Linked DNA regions of Drosophila melanogaster. The protein of the gene in region 1 purifies or fractionates together with the protein of each later gene. This does not show direct contact. Each region holds a gene or a part of one and is shown in the gene's direction. Other genes may lie near its edges.

What was found. Proteins that work in one complex are often made in the same cells at the same time.
Region 2: the proteins of Prp40 (region 1) and Arglu1 purify together in Drosophila melanogaster (affinity purification with mass spectrometry, with the first as the bait; one large-scale study listed by BioGRID). This does not show direct contact.
Region 3: the proteins of Prp40 (region 1) and l(2)37Cb purify together in Drosophila melanogaster (affinity purification with mass spectrometry, with the first as the bait; one large-scale study listed by BioGRID). This does not show direct contact.

Annotation. Positions count from the first base shown.
Region 1 is NT_033779.5:3,020,177-3,028,240, forward strand, and holds Prp40 (pre-mRNA processing factor 40), read left to right. Parts: upstream 1-3,049; 5' UTR 3,050-3,211; coding exon 3,212-3,618; intron 3,619-3,677; coding exon 3,678-3,910; intron 3,911-3,966; coding exon 3,967-5,015; intron 5,016-5,080; coding exon 5,081-5,446; intron 5,447-5,512; coding exon 5,513-5,593; intron 5,594-5,655; coding exon 5,656-5,940; 3' UTR 5,941-6,263; downstream 6,264-8,064. Other genes in the region: CG17264 (uncharacterized protein), read left to right, coding at 1-1,051; alpha4GT1 (alpha1,4-galactosyltransferase 1), read right to left, coding at 1,610-2,192, 2,247-2,773; Sf3b2 (splicing factor 3b subunit 2), read right to left, coding at 6,429-6,798, 6,862-7,106, 7,163-8,064.
Region 2 is NT_033779.5:9,934,267-9,940,051, reverse strand, and holds Arglu1 (arginine and glutamate rich 1), read left to right. Parts: upstream 1-1,917; 5' UTR 1,918-2,046; coding exon 2,047-2,394; exon of another isoform or gene 2,395-2,541; coding exon 2,542-2,814; coding exon of another isoform or gene 2,815-3,048; exon of another isoform or gene 3,049-4,482; coding exon 4,483-4,566; intron 4,567-4,628; coding exon 4,629-4,796; 3' UTR 4,797-5,285; downstream 5,286-5,785. Other genes in the region: CG4619 (uncharacterized protein), read right to left, coding at 1-1,088. UniProt on the Drosophila melanogaster protein: Post-transcriptional regulator of gene expression; modulates splicing and premature cleavage at cryptic polyadenylation sites of its own pre-mRNA through binding and regulation of the U1-snRNP complex.
Region 3 is NT_033779.5:19,123,498-19,128,757, reverse strand, and holds l(2)37Cb (lethal (2) 37Cb), read left to right. Parts: upstream 1-1,781; 5' UTR 1,782-1,834; coding exon 1,835-2,184; intron 2,185-2,245; coding exon 2,246-2,382; intron 2,383-2,442; coding exon 2,443-4,012; intron 4,013-4,079; coding exon 4,080-4,707; 3' UTR 4,708-4,760; downstream 4,761-5,260. Other genes in the region: l(2)37Cd (lethal (2) 37Cd), read right to left, coding at 1-787, 915-1,044, 1,102-1,303, 1,366-1,485; Phb1 (prohibitin 1), read left to right, coding at 5,206-5,260.

The DNA of each region.
Region 1 (8,064 bases):
CTTCAGCCAACGAGCTCCGGCGGGTTGCCTACAATATCACACCGGCACCGAGGGCATTATGCAAACCTTTAACTTCGCCGAGAATGGTCGACATTTGGCCAATCAAAACTATCGGATTTGTGTGCGCCAGGAGCTGGACATGTGCTCCATTATGTACCAGCCATGCGATGAGCAGTCCTTCCGCATCGGCGGAGGTGGGCGAATGGCAAGCCGAGGTGGTGGCACCTCTGAAGCAGCAGCGACAACGGCAACGTCGAGTCCTGCTCCAGCCCAGTCAGATGCAGCAGGTGCAACAGCAACAACATTAGGCAATGCTGCAGTGACCACTACAGCACCTACTTCTAGCACCCTCATGCAGATGCTAGCCAACATGGCAAACTCCACAACCACAACGCTGATGACCATGATGAGCGGAAATTCGACTCTGGCTGCCAGTTCAGTATCATCGGGCAGTACCAGCAGCAGCAGCAGTAGCAGCACCGCTGCCATGAGCACGACGACAACATCAACCACTCCCACACCGCTCCGATCCAGTACAGAGGCATCTACCACCTCGGCAGCACCTGCATCTTCGCCAGCCAGCGATGATGTGGAGGGATCGGGTGGTGAGGTAGGCGATGATGAGGATGACGACGGTGGGTTTCTCTTCTTCAGGAGTCGTCCCACCACGGAGGGACCTACCGTTTCCAGACGTCCTCGTCCCAGTGGAGGCTTCGACATCATGGGTATTATTCGGAATGCCATCGATTTGCCGCTGAAGTGGCGACGGCGACAGGCCCGCCAGTTCTTCAGCACCTGCTCTGACCGGATTACAATGCCTTGCATCATAGAGGATTTCATAGGAACCGGTCTGGGCCCACTTCCTGGGTGCGAGCCCGTCCACTGCGGCGCCCAATTCTGCTCCTCGGGCGTGTGGCCCTGTCGCATTGAAAGCACTGTGACTCCGTTCTATATTGGTGTCCACTTCGGCAATGGCCAGGGCGCCGGCAAGGCGAACGCAGAGGATAACGTGGGTGCCTGTCTGCGATATTCCCAAGTGCAATGCATGTAATGACTTGCGGGGATATTAACTTTCATTTCGCTTTAACAAATTATTTTTCAATTATCGAAATAGAGTTAAGATACTGTGTTTGTGATGACTTAAATACTTCTATTTTATTTGTAGGTTGATAGTAACATTCCCTGGATAAATAGTATGTACAAAATTCTTCAACTTATTCGAACTTAGTTAAGACAAACTACAATGATTCAAAATAGTATTCTAAGCGACTTTTACAGCTTTCAATAAATGTCTATGTGAGTTGTTCGCTTGCTTATATTATCGAATTATATTCACAATCAGTATTTAAATACATATATATAATGTGCAATCGGAGAGGTAAAGCTTATCGCAAAATAAAAAACCATTCCATTTGACTTGAACTGTGCTGCGGATGTGCGTTTGAGTAAGCTGACATCGCTTGGAATGACAATGAAACTTAATGCCAACAGGATGACAGCAAATAGGTAGGGATACATTTAGCAATGGCCCCTTTGCAGGGCGACGACTTTGGCTTGCAGCGGTAAACATTCATATACAAATGATAAGAGCTTGATAACCCTTCTGATACTAGAAGTATTCGCCAGCAGCCTTGTACGATCTCGGGCAATTTTGTTCGGCATACAAGGCGTAGGCGTTCTTAGATCCTATTTTGATAGGCAGCTTGCTCGAGTGCTTATTCCACACATGCACTACATACGAGTCCTTGCACCGGGCGATTGTCTCTTCTAAGTTTTCCGGCTCAAAGAAGTCTCGCCACTGCTTCCACGGTACGGCGTAAAAGGCGCCCCGTCCGAATACTTTGAAGCCCATGCAGCGCTTGGGGTCCTCTCGCATCAGAGCAATGTCTTTGGTGCCACATATCTTCTGAGCCACACGGGTTATCACCCCTGGGCCATTGTTGCCCCAGTCCCCGCCGTTAAAGTTGTGCTGAAAGTCGCGCAAACAGGACGCGGCGATCTCGTGGCCAAAGCCAGTGGCTGCCAGGTTCATTACGCCAGCTGCCAAATGGGTGTTGGACTCAGCACCTGTGTAATTGGGCGGCACCTTCTCCATGTTGCGAAGCACCACCACATCCATGTCCAGATAAAGACCGCCATACCGATAGAGGGTAAGGTAGCGGAGAAAGTCTGATATGTGCGAGAACAAATATCTGGAAAGGTAATGTCATCAATGAGTAATAACTAGGGAGAGTCTTTAAACTCACTTTGACCGCGACAAACGACCATCTTTGAGCCACTCCTCCATGGGCGTGCCAGATGCGTAACTCTCGAGATTCAGTCGACGTAGATGGACATTGCTGTAACTGAGAATGGCCTCCAACAATGGTTGGGGATGGCTTTTGTTGTTGGAGATTCGATAGGTGGGGCCAGCGAACAGGACGAACACTTGGAAATTCGGATTATGCATCGCTGCCGACTCGATTGCGCATGCCTGGCGGGCAGTGACCTTCAGCGTCTCCAGCTGTCTGTTCTCGGATAGGCGGCAGCTGGTCTCGTGAAAGAAGATACTGTTTCCGGGCGAGGGTTTGGGATCCGCCTGGAGGACGTCGCCCAATAGATTTGTTTCGCCATCTGCAGTTAGCGCCTGCTGAGTTGCCAGTACTTGGCCCTCCATAAAGCATGAGTGGTATTTATTTTCCGAAGTGTAGATGTAGAAGAGGCCTCCAATTACCATTAGGACGAGGATGATGAACATCCTGCGTGCCACCGCAATGGGCAACCAGAGGAGCATGACTGCAGAGAGATCTGGTAGCAAAAAATAGTGTAAGCATCATTTAACTTAAATGTTGTACATTTCAGCTATTTCTTACTCTATGTACGCCACATCGTCGCTGGGCAGTATTCCTTAATCGCCCTCGACGACAAGGAAACTCTAACAATTGAAAGGCACACAGCGAAGAACCACAACAAAAAGCGCTGTTATCGTTCCGCGGAAGCTAATCGATAACAGAAAATCTACCGGGTGGACAGTTCTCGTGTGTGGACTCGATAACTCGATGGGGTGGGCAGTTTCATTGCACAATCGACATCTCTGGCGTGGAAAGCGGCATTCGCTTTGAGAATTTTACGGATTTTTTCAATTACCGAAAGAAAAGTGAATTGGCCGGCGCAGCACGCAACGACCGGTAGACTCTCGGTGCACCCATTACCCATATAGCAAAATAGTGAAATGAATGTTCCTCCTAGCGTGGGCAATGGAGGAGCGCCACCGGGAAGGGGCATAGGCTACACGCCGCCCGGTGCAATCGTGCCGCAGTTTCCACCACCCGGATTTGGGGCCCCACCCCCACCGGAGCTGGCCGCCGCCTTCGGGGTGATGGCCACCAGCACCGAGTGGACGGAGCACAAGGCGCCGGACGGACGACCATACTATTACAATCAGAACACGAAGCAAAGCTCGTGGGAGAAGCCGGAGGCTCTGATGACGCCCGCCGAGCTGCTGCACAACCAGTGTCCCTGGAAGGAGTATCGCTCGGATACGGGCAAAGTGTACTACCACAACGTGGCCACCAAGGAGACCTGCTGGGAGCCGCCGCCGGAGTACGTGGATATGAAGGCCAAGGCGAAGGCGGAAGAGTAAGTAAATTAGTTGTGCATCGCGTGCCACTTAGTAATATGATTCCTTGTTTACCCAGAGCTGCTGCAGCCGCCAAAGCCGTAGCAGCCATGACATCATCCAGCTTAGCCGGCATGGTGCCACCTGCTGCTCTGGCTAGTATTCTTCCCGCTGCCCTGCCTGTTGCCCCCCGATTACCGACTCCTGAGATCCACTCGCCGCTGACACCCAGCAGCAACGAGAACTCGTCATCAGCGATGGATCAGGCCATGGCCGCCACGTTAGCGGCTATAGAGGTGCCACAACAAAATGGTAAATATTATAAACTCTGAAAATATACAGCCCAAGTCACACGACTTTCTTTGCAGCTAAGAAGGACGACAAGTCAGAGAGCGCTGTGGTGTTTAAGGATAAACGCGAGGCCATCGAGTCCTTTAAAGAGCTGCTGCGGGACCGCAATGTGCCATCAAATGCGAACTGGGACCAGTGTGTGAAAATCATATCAAAGGATCCGCGATACGCAGCCTTCAAAAATCTGAACGAGCGCAAGCAAACATTCAATGCCTACAAGACGCAGAAGATTAAGGACGAGCGCGAGGAGTCTCGCTTAAAAGCCAAGAAGGCAAAAGAGGACTTGGAGCAGTTCCTTATGTCCAGCGATAAGATGAACTCGCAGATGAAATATTTTCGTTGTGAAGAAGTATTTGCCGGAACGCGAACATGGACCGCGGTGCCGGAACCGGATCGGCGAGATATATACGAGGACTGTATATTTAATTTAGCGAAGCGAGAGAAGGAAGAAGCGCGGTTGCTGAAAAAACGAAACATGAAGGTTCTGGGCGAGCTGCTAGAGTCGATGACTTCAATCAATCATGCCACCACCTGGTCAGAGGCTCAGGTTATGCTATTGGACAACGTAGCATTTAAGAATGATGTGACTCTGCTCGGAATGGACAAGGAGGACGCCCTAATTGTCTTCGAGGAGCACATTCGCACCTTGGAAAAGGAGGAGGACGAGGAACGTGAGCGGGAAAAGAAGCGCATGAAGCGACAGCAGCGCAAAAACAGGGACTCCTTTCTTGCGCTGCTCGACTCCCTGCATGAAGAGGGAAAGCTCACTTCCATGTCGCTGTGGGTGGAGCTGTATCCCATCATATCAGCCGATTTGCGATTCTCCGCTATGCTCGGCCAGAGCGGGTCTACACCCCTGGATCTTTTCAAGTTCTATGTGGAAAACCTGAAAGCCCGCTTCCATGATGAGAAAAAAATAATAAGGGAGATCCTCAAGGAAAAGGCATTTGTTGTCCAAGCGAAGACATCCTTCGAGGACTTTGCCACGGTCGTGTGTGAAGATAAGCGGTCAGCCAGCCTGGACGCGGGAAATGTGAAGCTCACATACAACTCCCTGCTGGAAAAGGTAACTATGGAGTGGGAAAAAAACCTTATATCAATAAAACTCATTTGTGTATTTATAATCTACAGGCCGAGGCCATTGAAAAGGAACGGATGAAAGAGGAGGTGCGAAGGTTGCGGAAACTAGAAAATGAAATTAAAAACGAATGGCTGGAGGCGAACGTCTCAGTGGCCGAACCCTATGAGAGCGCCAAGAAGCTGGTAGAACACCTTGAAGCATTTGCCCTTTATGAAAAAGAAATCGGTGTGGAGAAGATCTGGGAGGACTTTGTTAAGGAAAGCGAAGATGCGTGCAGCCATCATCACTCGCGATCACGAAAATCTAAGAAAAACAAGAAGCACAAAAAACGAGTACGGTCCGTCTCGAGATCAGACATCGAGAATGAGCATATAGAAGTGGAGAAGTCCAAGCGAAGGCGCTCCAAGACACGATCGGTTAGTATGCTAAACATAACATTAAATGCAACTTGTAAGTTAAATAATAACGTCACGCACATACAGCATTCCCTGACCTCAATTGGCAGCATCGAGAGCGAAAAATTGCTGAAGAAGAAAAAGAAGCGCAAGAACAAACTGCGAGGTGTACGTAGCAAGTCGGCCCAGTCCTTGGACAACTATACTATCTAACATGGCTTACATTTCAGTCCTCCTGCGAATCGGATGTTCCAGGCATTCAATCGCCGGGAACTCAAGCTCTACTTCAGAACGACTCAAACTCGCACTCACCCGCAAAGAAAAAGAAGAAGGAGAAGCGAGCTAAGAAGGACAAGCGACACAACAGGCACAATCGATCCGGCACGCCCCTTAGTCCTGCCCAGTCCGTCGAGTCGTCTGGATCGCGAAACGAGGAGCTGACGTTAAGTGACGGCGAGCTGGAATCGAAGCGAGCGGCTCTTCTAGCCCAACTCAGCGAGCAGCTCGACGAGTGACCAGCTGACAGGCGTTGAGTCAAAGCCGACATCGACATCGTGTGGCACTCTCTAGCTCTAGCTTAAGGAGGATCGGGAGAGGTAGCTAGCCCTGGACTCAGTTGCTGGACAAGTTCTCTTTTCAGTCCTTGCCTTCCACTGCACTCTGCTTCGTTTGGTTTAGATACTGTCCTGGTCCCAGCACAAACCACACAGCGAACCACAATTGTAATTTCTTAGTCTCAATAAGTTTCAATGTATAAATGAGAATTAAACCTAACGAGTCAAATTTTAAGTTATACGCAAATGATTTTGATTCTGCATCAAAATAAACAAATTACGATAGAAATTACAAGATAAGATCTTTTGTGTTAACTTCACTTTTTGCAGAACCTATTTTAAATCCTCGCATTTAAATTGAATGACGCGAACTTATTGTAGTTTTTACTATGTTTAATGACATCCTTGACAATCGCACAAATGGAAAAGTTGTATTTCTTGTTGTCAAACTAAAACTTGAACTCCTTGTACTTCTTTGTGGTCTTGGCCGGATCCGTTTGCTGTCGCTTGCGCTTCGATTTCTGCCGCGCCACATGTTCGGCCAACATGTCTGACAGATCCTCCTTTTGCAGGTGATTCTGCTGCTCACGCATTTGTTGCTCATAACGCTGGGCCATTGCGTCATTGTCCAAGTCCAATTCGCTAGGATCGAGAGCCAGTTCCACAATGCCCTCGCGATCTGTGGTTGATCGAACTGGGGGCTGTTTGTTAGCCCCACTGCCACTGACGTCGTAGACATGGGTTGATCCCATCATGGAAGCCCCTATGCGGTCGGTGCGCTTCTCAGGCAGCACTTGATACAGAACAGGAGTTTCGTTGCTAGGAGAAGTTGGAATAATGGGCTTAATCGTGATGTTATTTTAAAAATATTAGTTCACTTACTCCTCCATCTCGGCTTCAATTTTCTTCTTGCGAAGCTCAATGTTCTCGGGGGTTTCCATGCCAGCTGGAACACTGGTGAGTCCAGAGGGTGTTACTAGTCCCTCTACTGGCGTTACCAGGCCAGTCTCATCCTGCTGATCGCCCAAGTCCTCGCCATCTTCCTCTTCCTCCTCGGATGATTCTTCTGACTCCGATTCCAGTTCGCCCCATTGGTTACGTTCAATGTCAGCTTCGTCTACGCCATTCTATAAAAAAACAATGACATTAAAACAAGAAGTGCTACGCGAATGTTGCCACTCACATCAAGGTCCAATATGTTGGTTCCAAATACGTCACCGTACAGCGGTTTTCCGTTCTCATCCACTGGCGGCTTGCCCCAACCTCCGGCATGATAACCGAACGAGGTTCCGTCTGGGATCGGAGCATTCAGGCCAGGAATTTTAAGATTCGGATACGAGGGCGGCGGCCCGTAGCGCTGTTGAGCAATGAGCCATGGTGGCGGAATCTTGTGTGAGTTGGGTCCCACGGGCATTCCCAGAGCAATGCGCAACTCCTCGGAGAGATCTCCGGGCTTCTTTTCCTTAAGGCGTGTCTCAAACTCCTTGCCCTCGTAGTAGAGGTCGCCATGAATGGTCATGCGGGGCTTGGTCTGCCACTTGAAGAAGGCATCGTGAAGTTTCTGGTAGTCAATGTCAATTTTGCCCATCTTGGGACGGACGCGTTCACGCATCTTGGCCTTGAGTGTCTTGGCGTCCTCTCGTTCCTGCAACGATTCGCGCATCTCCATGATGCCCGTCTTTTTGATGAAGGCGGGGAGATCGAACGGAGGCTTCTCAATACCCCTTTTGCCCTGCAGATATTTTCGCTTGAAGCACCAATGCCGCGGCACTTGTACTGTGTTCCTATAGGCTTTCAGTTGAACCAGTAGTTTGGGATCTCTCGCTGTGACATCGTGCATCTCCACTACGTCAGGTCGAGAGACCAGTTGTTTCAGTTCTGCCACACTCAAACGGGTCAGTTTCTTAAGTTTCCGCTTGGACAGCTTCTCCTTGTCTTCCTTGCGCTCTTCGTCATCATCGCCGTCATCGTCCTCGTCCTCGAGCTGTTTGTCTGTAGCCTTTTTGTCCCTGGGATGGGACTCAGAATCGTGCGAAGATTTGTCCTTCTCCACAGGCTTTGGTTTGTTTTCCAGCTTGAAGATTT
Region 2 (5,785 bases), 6.9 Mb from region 1:
AGCTTGCGCAGGGCGGTCAGTTCCAATTGTCTGATTTCCTCAGGAGTCAATGCACAATTGAGTTGAGCGCTGGCCCACAGGAATGTGGCCAAGTCTTTGGAGCGCAGGTCTCCAGGCTTGAGAAGAGTCATGAGTCGTTTTACGACGACAGTTAGGCATTCATTCTGATCCCAAAGCTGCTCGGCAAAGAATGCAAAGATATGGGCAAGTCCTCGGGGTTCAATATGGGTTATCTTTACAGGATCCAGACAGATATCTTGCAGGTGCTGGCACACTCGTTCATCTTTGACTTGCTGCAGACGCAATGCCTTGACAAAGGAGACCAGCAAGGCATCGCTTCCGGTGTTTATCTCCAGATTTAATATGGCATTAACGAGTCTTGCTTCGTATGCCGTTTTCGCCTCACCGGTTACCAAAGTTGAGGTTTTGTACGCCGCATTGCTGACCACGGCAAGGTCCATTTCATTTAGTTCAGGCAAATGCGTTTGTAGATGCTCTTCCAGGAGTTGCTGGAATTCCTCAGAAGATTTGGCCTGCTTCTTTTGCAATCCCATATAGAAGCACACCTGAACGAATCGCTCCTTGTTGCCGCGAAAATCCTCCCTGACCAGTCGTTGCATGGCTGCTTGGTAAAAATCCAATCGCTTTATCCAACTTGGTATGAGGAATAGAAAGGAGTAGAGCGTCTCGAGCACTGTGGCGGTATCCATCTTGTCCAGCTGTTTAGCCGCATGGTTATCCAACGTGTTAAGCGCAGTCACATACATGGGTACAGCGGCATTGGAGCGATAGCTGGATGCCTGGATGATCAGGGCGGGCAATTGGGCTGCATCCGTTTTCTCTACCGTCCGCTGAAAGTACCGGTCGTCCGTGATGGGAAAGAAGTCAGAGTACCGGACCGTCGTCTTGGGCAACACGTGATCCGAATCCCTGTAGCGCTCCAGTGCAATGTGCTTGGCGAAGCGGGTCAGCAGTGTGCCGGTCTCATCGCTGCTCCGCAATACATCTCTGGGCGTAAGGGAGGCGTAGGTTCTGATGGGACATCCCAAGTTGGTGACGCCGGCAAAGCGGCGAAGCAGGGCGTACATATCGGATGCACTTCTTCTCAATTTATGTAATGAATTTACAAAACAACGTGCAAGTCCGCAAGCATACGTTAAATCTGCATTCGCTTTTCAACACTGACTAATTTCCTCTCACACGAAGTGAACTACTAATAAGCAAAAGAGGGAAACAGCTAGAAAAGCACCACTGTTATTGGAGACTTTCGAGCACTGTTCAAACACCTGTTTCGGTTAATTGATAGCAACAACATGGAAAAGGCAGCTGGTTTTGTTATTTTTCGCCGCCTTTGTGGGGAAATACAATACCTATTGCTGAAGGCTTCCTACGGCTCCTTCCACTGGAGTTCTCCCAAGGGACATGTGGACCCAGGCGAGGATGATTTTACCACTGCCCTGCGAGAAACGAAAGAGGAAGCCGGGAAAGTGCACAACGATATATCTTTTAAAACATGCTTAATTTCAAAAATGCTCTCATAGGTACGACGAGAAGGATCTGATCATATACAAGGACACTCCGCTGACCCTGAATTATCAGGTGCAAGACAAGCCGAAGATTGTTATTTACTGGCTAGCGGAGCTGCGGAATCCCTGCCAGGAGCCCATTCTCTCCGAGGAGCACACCGACCTCAAGTGGCTGCCCAAGGAGGAGGCCAAGCAGTGCGTCGGCTTTAAGGATAACCAAGTCATGATCGACAAGTTCCACCAAATGATTTTAGATCAAAACAAACCAATGTGAACTGAAAACAATTGCCGGTCTAATGTTGGGCAACACAGAAATTAAAATAAAAAAAGCACAGAAAATACCGTATCAAAAAAAATACCAGAATTATGTCAGGCCAGTATGCCAACGTTGTGCACACTGTTTTAAGGCATCTGTGAAAATTGCTCGAGAAATTAAATTCGCTCTCATTGATTTGTTGTGGCAGCCAAGTTAAGCCCTTCGACTAGCTCGAAATCTTATACAATCACACAATCCAGCACCATGGGCTCCCGTTCACGTACACCCAGTCCGTCGGGCAAGCGACGCCACCATAAGAGCAAGCACAAAAAACGCAGTAAGTCCCACCACGACCACGAGCGGCCCAGCACAAGAACGGATAGAGACAAGTCCTCGGAGGTGAACAACCATGGACGACATCGCGAACGGGACAGGGACCGCGAGCGGGATAGACACCGCAGCGACCGACACACTGAGCGCGACTACCGTCACTCCCCCTCGATCCTGAAATCCCGAAAACGCTCCAGCTCGTCGAGCAGCGACAGTCAGTACTCCGAGCAGGAGTCGCAACGTAGCAAACAGAAGCGCAGCCGCTTTAAGAAGCTGGATGAGGTAAGTGGATAGTGTCCATAGTCTGTCATCTTGAGCACTCCATGGGTACGCATTCCATACACGCATTTTTCCGGGATGGACACTCATGCTGCGCTTATGATACAACTGTTTCGATGAAAGCAACTAAACTATGATCTACCATTACAGCAAAACCAGATGCAGGTCGAACGCCTGGCCGAGATGGAGCGGCAGCGTCGGGCGAAGGAGCTCGAGCAAAAGACAATCGAAGAGGAAGCCGCCAAGCGCATAGAGATGCTGGTAAAAAAGCGCGTCGAGGAGGAGCTAGAAAAGCGTCGCGACGAAATCGAACAGGAGGTCAATCGACGCGTTGAGACCGCCAAGGCTGAGATGGAGCGCGAAATGATGCTGGAGCTGGAGCGGCGGCGAGAGCAGATACGCGAAGAAGAACGCCGGCGCGAGGTAGGTGCTCGTATTCAGATTCCGCTGGACGACTGCTGCTATCACTGTCAGAAACACGTACACAATGCCACATTTACCGTACACTTGAATAAATCCAAAACAGCAGTTCAAACAGTCGTCTCCACCACGTCACGCGAAATCGATCCGGCGGCGCTCTCAGTCGCGGCTCACTGGCTGTTCATCCATCAACCCATGTCCCATCAGCAGCCTCCCCGTACTAGATTGCTTGCATAACCCTGGGCCAAGGGCGCCCACTAACCGGGTACATCACTAACCAGTCGCAACTTTTCAGAGCCCTCCCCACATGATGCAGCAAGCTAAATGCTGTGAGCCGAGATGAGAACGCCACGGCTCGTTTTGCCCCTTTTTTTCTTCTTGCCAATAATTTTGTAACTTTTTATTTTTCCTACCAAAAAAGCCAAAATGACGACATTGCCAAGTGTCGCATGTGTCAAAGTTTTGATGCCCATTATTGCAGACTTATTGCATACTCTTAGCTTCATCTTTTGTTCGTTCCTACCCACATACTGTATCATTTTAATTTTTTTGGTATTGGTTCTCGTAACTCGTTGTTGTTGTTATTGCGCGCAAATTCCGCTTCAGTAGGCCCGTGCAACGAACGTGCTGCTCTTGTCCCGTATGCAAGTGGGTGTGTGTGGCTGTTTTGTGATCCTTACCCGCAAAACACTCGCGTGCACTCCACGTTGTGCCGCCATGCCGGAAGTTGAGCAAGCCTGCTGCCGAGCGATTGGTCCACGGACGCATTTCCTCCACACCAAACAATAAATATCAAAAGAATCAAAGAAATACCAAAGCCCAGCGAAGTGGTATGGTGTCCCTAAGTTAGTCCGGGTAGTTAGGCACTCTAGTTGTGGGCGGGCCGACTGAGTTTAGTCCCAACAGTACGCTGCATGCAAATCAAATCACTGCCACTTTTGATAACGGGTGAGTTTCCTACGCCAGCGATGTGTGATGTTGCCCAGCAGCCGTAAGGATAACAGGCGAGAAAGGACGGCGCACAGACCCAAAGACTCAAAGACTCCCCCCAGGGTTTAGCTCTATAGAACTCTGTCTGTAAGAATTTTTGAAACCGGATACGCATTGGATTGCCACTTATTTGTGTTTAAGCTTTTTGTTTTTGCGAGCAAATTACATATGTACGTCTGGAATAGCGAAAAACTCCACAAAAATAATCCCAAATCGAAAATCTGCAAAAAAAAAAAAAAAGAAAACCATAAATTAACACAAATTTAGCCTATTTACTGGAATAATGACCTATTTAAATAGTAAGTAGCAACAATAAAAAAAAAAAAAAACCAAATGAAGACCAACCATTTAGCAAATACTAGTACATTTGTTTATGTTGTGTGCTCCTTTATTGTAATAAACTAAAAGAACAACCTACTTTAAACATTCTTATTAGACACTACTAAATGTTTTACTTTCTACCGAAAATATTCTTTGTAACTTATTGTTAAACATAAAACTAGATTTTAACTGCCTTTGCAGCTCATCAAGCAAAAAACTGCAACCACAAACGTGCGTCGAATTCGTCGCACAGTTTGCATCGCTGATGTCAAGAGACTGTTTATTTCTATAATTAGCATTAAGCTTCTCGCTAAAGGATCGATTTTTGTTATTAATCGTCTTCTTGTTTGGGTTTTATAGGAGGATGAAAAACAAAAACGCGAAGAGCTCGAAGAAATTTTGGCCGAAAACAATCGCAAAATCGAAGAGGCGCAAAGAAAACTGGTAAGAATTCATAGCAAACAAACCATATTATTATGATCATAATTGATTTCTTTTTTCTTTAGGCCGAAGAACGGTTAGCAATAATCGAGGAGCAGCGCCTTATGGACGAGGAGCGGCAACGCATGCGCAAGGAGCAGGAGAAGCGCGTCAAGGAAGAGCAGAAGGTCATATTAGGCAAAAACAATTCCAGGCCCAAGCTATCGTTCTCCCTGAAACCGGGCGCATTATGAGGAGCGTAGGCATCAGTCTGGTGACCGTCGCACCTTTTCTTGTTAACAGCTTTTGCTTTTTTTTTTACCTCAGTGGCTATTTGCCTGCGACACAGACCATGCACTCGTTTTCATTGTTGTAATTGTGTTCTATATTATTTTTATTATTTTAAGGACGAGCTGTGGTGCTGAGAGCAGGCAAAGCACAGCCAATAGATTCAACGTTTTCAAAATTGCCAATTACTGAACACATACGGCTCTATATAGTACAATACGCTAGCGATTTACTTAACCTTTTCTACATAAAGAATTCATATGTGAGACAAATGATTATGTGTAGTGCGTCGTATTGTTGTCACAGCTGAACGATTAACAAAAAAGAAGAAAAAAAAAAAAAGAAAACCAAAAAGATGTCAGTGAAATACATATGTAATCTATTTGCAATTTTTTGATATTTCAAGAAAACATAGAAATCAGCTGAAATCGATAATAAAAAACTTTAGAAATGCCAAAAGTTGAATATTATTATATATAATCTGTATAAGCTTAAGTGTTTCAGATTTGCAATGCAAGAGCTACAAGTGCATTAGCGAGCGAATTAAGCACCATTCGCTTAGTAAATTTGACAGTTTTGCCAAAACATACGTGCGCTTTTCAGCTCCTCCATCCTCCACCGAATCCCCCGATCCCCTTTGGTATCGGACACGATCTAAGCCAGTGTACATGTCGCTAAGTAGACACAACTTATTATTTATAGAGACTACTTCAATTTATATGTCTCTTGTTGCTGATTGGGTTGGGCGACGCTGGACAGCGGGCGACAGCCGGCACGCCCGCGCGTAGCATGGAACTGGAGGCTGCGATCAGGTGGAGAGGCGGCGGTGTCCGATCTGTCCAAGTGCGTGCGTGCGCAGGAGGCGGGGATGCCGAATTGGTAGGCGACTTCACTCAGAGTCGTAATGTGGTTCTAAGCGAATGTGGCGCAAGATATGCCTGTTATGCATACGCAC
Region 3 (5,260 bases), about 16 Mb from region 1:
TTCGCTGATCGAGGCGCAGACAATCTGACGCACTTGAGCATCGAATCCCGGCGGCAGCCAGCCCGTGCGTTCATTGCACACAGCTCCGGTAAGTGGAGTGGGGATCTTCTCCAACATTTCCTGGATCCTCGTCATACGGACGTCGCAGTAGCGCAGCATGCATTGCCTGGAGCGCGGCAGCTTGTGCTCATCGAAGTAGGGATAGTCAATGTCCTGAACCAAATCAGAGACTCGATCCTCGATGGGCGCGAATGGAGCGTTCGCCGCCCTCCGTTGCTTTACGAACTTCTTAGCATACACGAATTCGGAGAGACCAGTGCTGAATCGGAGTCGGAAGTCGAAAGTCTGATAGTAGCGACTATTGAAGTCCTTGCGGGGATCGTAGCCGAAGCGAACATACAAAGTGCGCCACGGGCCGTTGCTAAAGTAAAATGCCAGCGATGGAGTGATGCACTTGAGTTTGTCGTTGGTCAAACCCGATTCATATTGCAGCGCGATTCGGGTCCAAATTGGGCAGTCATCGAAAAGTTTTTTGACCAATGCCAGCTGCTCATCCGAAACGTACTTGACCTTGAGTCGTTTAAGGTTTTGGGAGTCTGCCTGGGTGGGAAAGCTGTCCACCATGTTGAACGAGACCACGCCCTGGTTGTCGTAGGAGGACTTGGACTGCACGCCCAGCACCTCATGTTGGCCGTCTTCTGAGGGATCGATGCGATACGTGCCCGCATAGACAGTGTCCACGTGGGTGAACAATTCGGGCAGCGCCAGCAACTGGCTGTGGCGACGTCTGTGGGAAAAATACGATGCTTTTACATACTGAGCATTAAAATGATTAATTATACATGCTATATAGCTTTCAAACCAGGATCTCATTCTCTTGGTGCACAGAGCACGAATATGGACAAGTTACTCACTTAAAGTAGTCCAAGTCGGTGGTGTTTTTGGGTTTCAACTGGTCCAAAGCGTACGTGAGCTCCTGGGCAGCATTTGCGTTGTCACTTTTGGGAGTTGACCAGAGGGGTAGGTATTGGAAATCACAAAGCGCTTAAAGTAAAAGGAAATTAGAATATATCGTGGATGGAATTCCGACCATCTACTCACTTTCAAAGGTGAAGCTCCTGCTGCAGTGGCCCAACACCCGCACAAAATATTCCGGAGGCCGTTGCTTGTCCTTTTTGTGGCGCCTCACGGTTATGGATAGCAGGACACCAGTCTTATCCGTGCAGTCCCCAAAAGTGGGTTTGTTGTAGGGATTCTCCGGATGGAAGTGCAACGCCAATCGTTTCACTTCGTCGCCCAAAACCTGTGCATGGAATAAGATATCAGCCAAGTTGCCCGATTGCCTGACCAGGTTGAATTCCATACCTTAGACACATTGATGATGCCGCCCAGAGTGGCTATCATCCGATCGGGATTTACCACTCGGCCGGGGTACTCGATCAACTCATATTCTTTCTGCGGATTGAAACTCAATTGGCGCGACATGATATGAAACTGAGGTGAGTTTAACGAATTAAACAGCTGTTAGGGGAACAGTGATGCTCTCTACTAATAAATTCGAGCAAAAAAAAATGAGCAACACACAAAATTGAATGTGCCATGAAGGTGTACCCATAAGTCCTTTAAAACTAGTTATTGCCACAAATAAGCCTATAATATAAGAAACATAATTTGTAATAAAATAAATATAGAATATTATATATATATATAATATATTTTTAGCAATTTGATTATTATTGTTTGCTCACCCAGTGCTGAAAATAGCTAGCTTGGCAGCACTGCATGTTATCGAATTACCTATCGCTAGCCGGTTTGTTTATAGGCAATCTTGAAAATGTCGGGTAAAAACAGAAAACGCACGGCCAGCAGCAGCAGCAGCGGTGAGGAGCCGGACAGCGAGGAAGAGTCTCGCCTAAAGGACCTGCAGGAGCGCGACGAGTTCGCCAGCCGGCTGAAGAAGCGGGATGACGATCGGACGCGCAATGTGGTTGATTCCACCGGCGGACGAAGGGCCATCGAGGAGGCCACCAAGCGACTGAAGCTTGAGCATGAGGATCGGGACAAGATAGTGCCTCACCTGCGTCTGCAGTCGCGTCGCCAGTACCTGGAGAAGCGCAAGGATGACAAGGTGGCCGAGCTGGAGGCGGACATCCTGGACGATGAGTACCTCTTCGATGAGAGCGTGTAGGATCATAGCTTAATCCTTACCTACATAGGTATCCAAATAATCCTGGTTTGCTTTCAGCCTGACCAAACGGGAGAAGGAGGAGCGCGAGTACAAGAAGCAACTGCTGAACATCGCCAAGGAGCACGAGAAGGCGCGGGAACTAGAGCGCATCCAGCGTTATAATATGCCGCAGGACCTGAAAAAGGGAGAGCGATGTATGTAGACAACGTACGTTGGTCCTCGATAAATACTTATATGTTATTTTTCCACTTAAGCTGAATACGTTGAGGTTGATGAGTTTGAGAAGCAACCCAACTCAGAGCAGAAGAAATGGGAGGCTGAACAGCTGGCTTCGGCGCGTTTCCATTTCGGCGCGAAAGATGCCAAGGCGGAGGAGGAGTATGAGCTGCTACTTGACGATCAAATCGATTTCATCCAAGCCCTTACCCTGGACGGAAGTCGAGAGAAATCATCTAGCCGACAGCCCGAACTCACGGAGAAGGAACGCAAACGTTTGACATTGGACGAAACCAGAAGATCACTGCCCGTTTATCCGTTCAAGGAGGATCTGATTGCTGCTGTAAAGGAACATCAGGTGCTCATCATCGAAGGAGAAACAGGCTCGGGCAAAACGACACAGGTGCCGCAGTACCTCGTGGAAGCTGGTTTCACCAAGGACAAGAAGATGATCGGATGCACGCAACCACGTCGTGTGGCCGCCATGTCGGTGGCAGCACGCGTGGCCGAGGAAATGGGCGTGAAGCTGGGCAACGAGGTGGGCTACAGCATCCGTTTCGAGGACTGCACCTCGGATCGCACCATTCTCAAGTACATGACGGACGGCACCCTGCATCGAGAGTTCCTTTCGGAACCCGACTTGGCCTCCTACAGTGTGATGATTATCGATGAGGCTCACGAACGGACACTGCACACGGACATTTTGTTTGGCCTGGTCAAGGATATTGCTCGCTTTAGACCAGAGTTGAAGCTGCTCATTTCCAGTGCCACTCTGGATGCGGAAAAGTTCTCCGCGTTCTTCGATGATGCACCCATCTTTCGGATACCTGGTCGCCGCTATCCAGTGGACATATTCTACACCAAGGCTCCGGAAGCGGACTACATCGACGCGTGTTGCGTTTCAGTTTTGCAGATTCATGCCACTCAACCTTTGGGCGACATTCTAGTCTTCCTCACGGGTCAGGATGAGATCGAGACTTGCCAGGAGGTTCTGCATGATCGCGTAAAGCGGCTGGGCTCCAAAATACGTGAGCTGATCGTTATACCCGTCTATGCGAATCTACCGAGTGATATGCAGGCCAAAATCTTCGAACCCACACCGCCGAATGCCCGAAAAGTTATCCTGGCCACAAATATCGCAGAGACTTCGCTAACCATCGACAACATCATTTATGTAATTGATCCTGGGTTTGCCAAGCAGAACAATTTTAATTCCCGCACTGGCATGGAGTCGCTTATGGTGGTGCCCATTTCCAAGGCCTCCGCCAATCAGCGAGCGGGCAGAGCGGGACGAACTGCTCCGGGAAAGTGCTTCCGTCTGTATACGGCGTGGGCATACAAGCATGAACTGGAGGACAATACCGTTCCGGAGATACAGCGTATTAATCTGGGCAATGCGGTGCTCATGCTAAAGGCTCTGGGCATCAATGATCTGATACACTTCGACTTTCTGGACCCTCCGCCGCACGAGACACTGGTATTGGCTTTGGAGCAGCTATATGCCCTGGGTGCACTTAATCACCATGGAGAGTTAACCAAGCTGGGTCGACGGATGGCCGAGTTTCCCGTGGATCCCATGATGGGCAAGATGCTGCTGGCAAGCGAAAAGTATGTAATCGATCTAACAAACCAGAAGTGAAATAATTCGTATAATATTCGTATATTTTTGTTTTAGATACAAATGCTCCGAGGAGATGGTGACCATTGCAGCCATGCTGTCCGTGAATAGCGCCATTTTCTACAGGCCCAAGGACAAAATCATTCACGCGGACACAGCCCGAAAAAACTTCAATCACATGCACGGCGACCACTTGAGCCTCCTGCAGGTCTACAATCAGTGGGCGGAGACGGACTACAGCACCCAGTGGTGCTACGAGAACTTCATCCAGTACAGATCGATGAAGCGGGCTCGCGACGTGCGGGAGCAGCTGGTGGGACTGATGCAGCGTGTCGAGATCGACATGGTCAGCTGCCTGCCAGAAACAGTAAACGTGCGCAAGGCAGCCACCGCTGGTTACTTTTACCATGTGGCGCGACTCTCGAAGGGCGGTCACTACAAGACCATCAAGCACAATCAGACCGTGATGATACATCCGAACTCCTCGCTCTTTGAGGAGCTGCCGCGCTGGGTGCTCTATCACGAGCTGGTGTTCACCTCCAAGGAGTACATGCGTCAGGTTATAGAGATCGAGAGCAAGTGGTTGCTGGAGGTGGCTCCGCACTACTACAAGGCCAAGGAGCTGGAGGATTCGACGAACAAGAAGATGCCAAAAGTCGCCGGGCGAGCCGAAATGGCGCAATAATTTTGAGGGGGTTTTTAGTTTTCAATTAATAATAAACTTTTATTGTAAATTTCACCATTTGTAGTTTGATATTGTAAACTGGCTTTGTTTATTATTATTCTTTTTAAATTTCGATAATCGATAATCTTAGGAAACAATCGAATACGATTCTTATTAGTACGTTTCGATATATGGCGGCCCCACCGACAGTTGTATTATCGATAACAGGCCGTGTGGTTGTATTTCGTGTTTTGCATTTCAAAGAGCAAAATTGCACAATAATTTAATTTAAGTGCAACCAAAAACCTTTAACAAGTGAGTCTATGAGCGAGCCGAGCTAACTGCGTTTGAAGACCAGGAAGAACAGGGGATAAAAACACGCAAACAGCACATTGTCATTAAACCATGACGTTCTAACCTAAAAACTGATGAAATTTCCAAGTCCAGTCGGCTTTCATTTACATATATAGTTTATAGAACAGTAACTAAATACATTACGTTTGTTTTATTCAAAGGATAATGGCTGCTCAGTTCTTTAATCGCATTGGCCAAATGGGCCTCGGAGTGGCCGTTT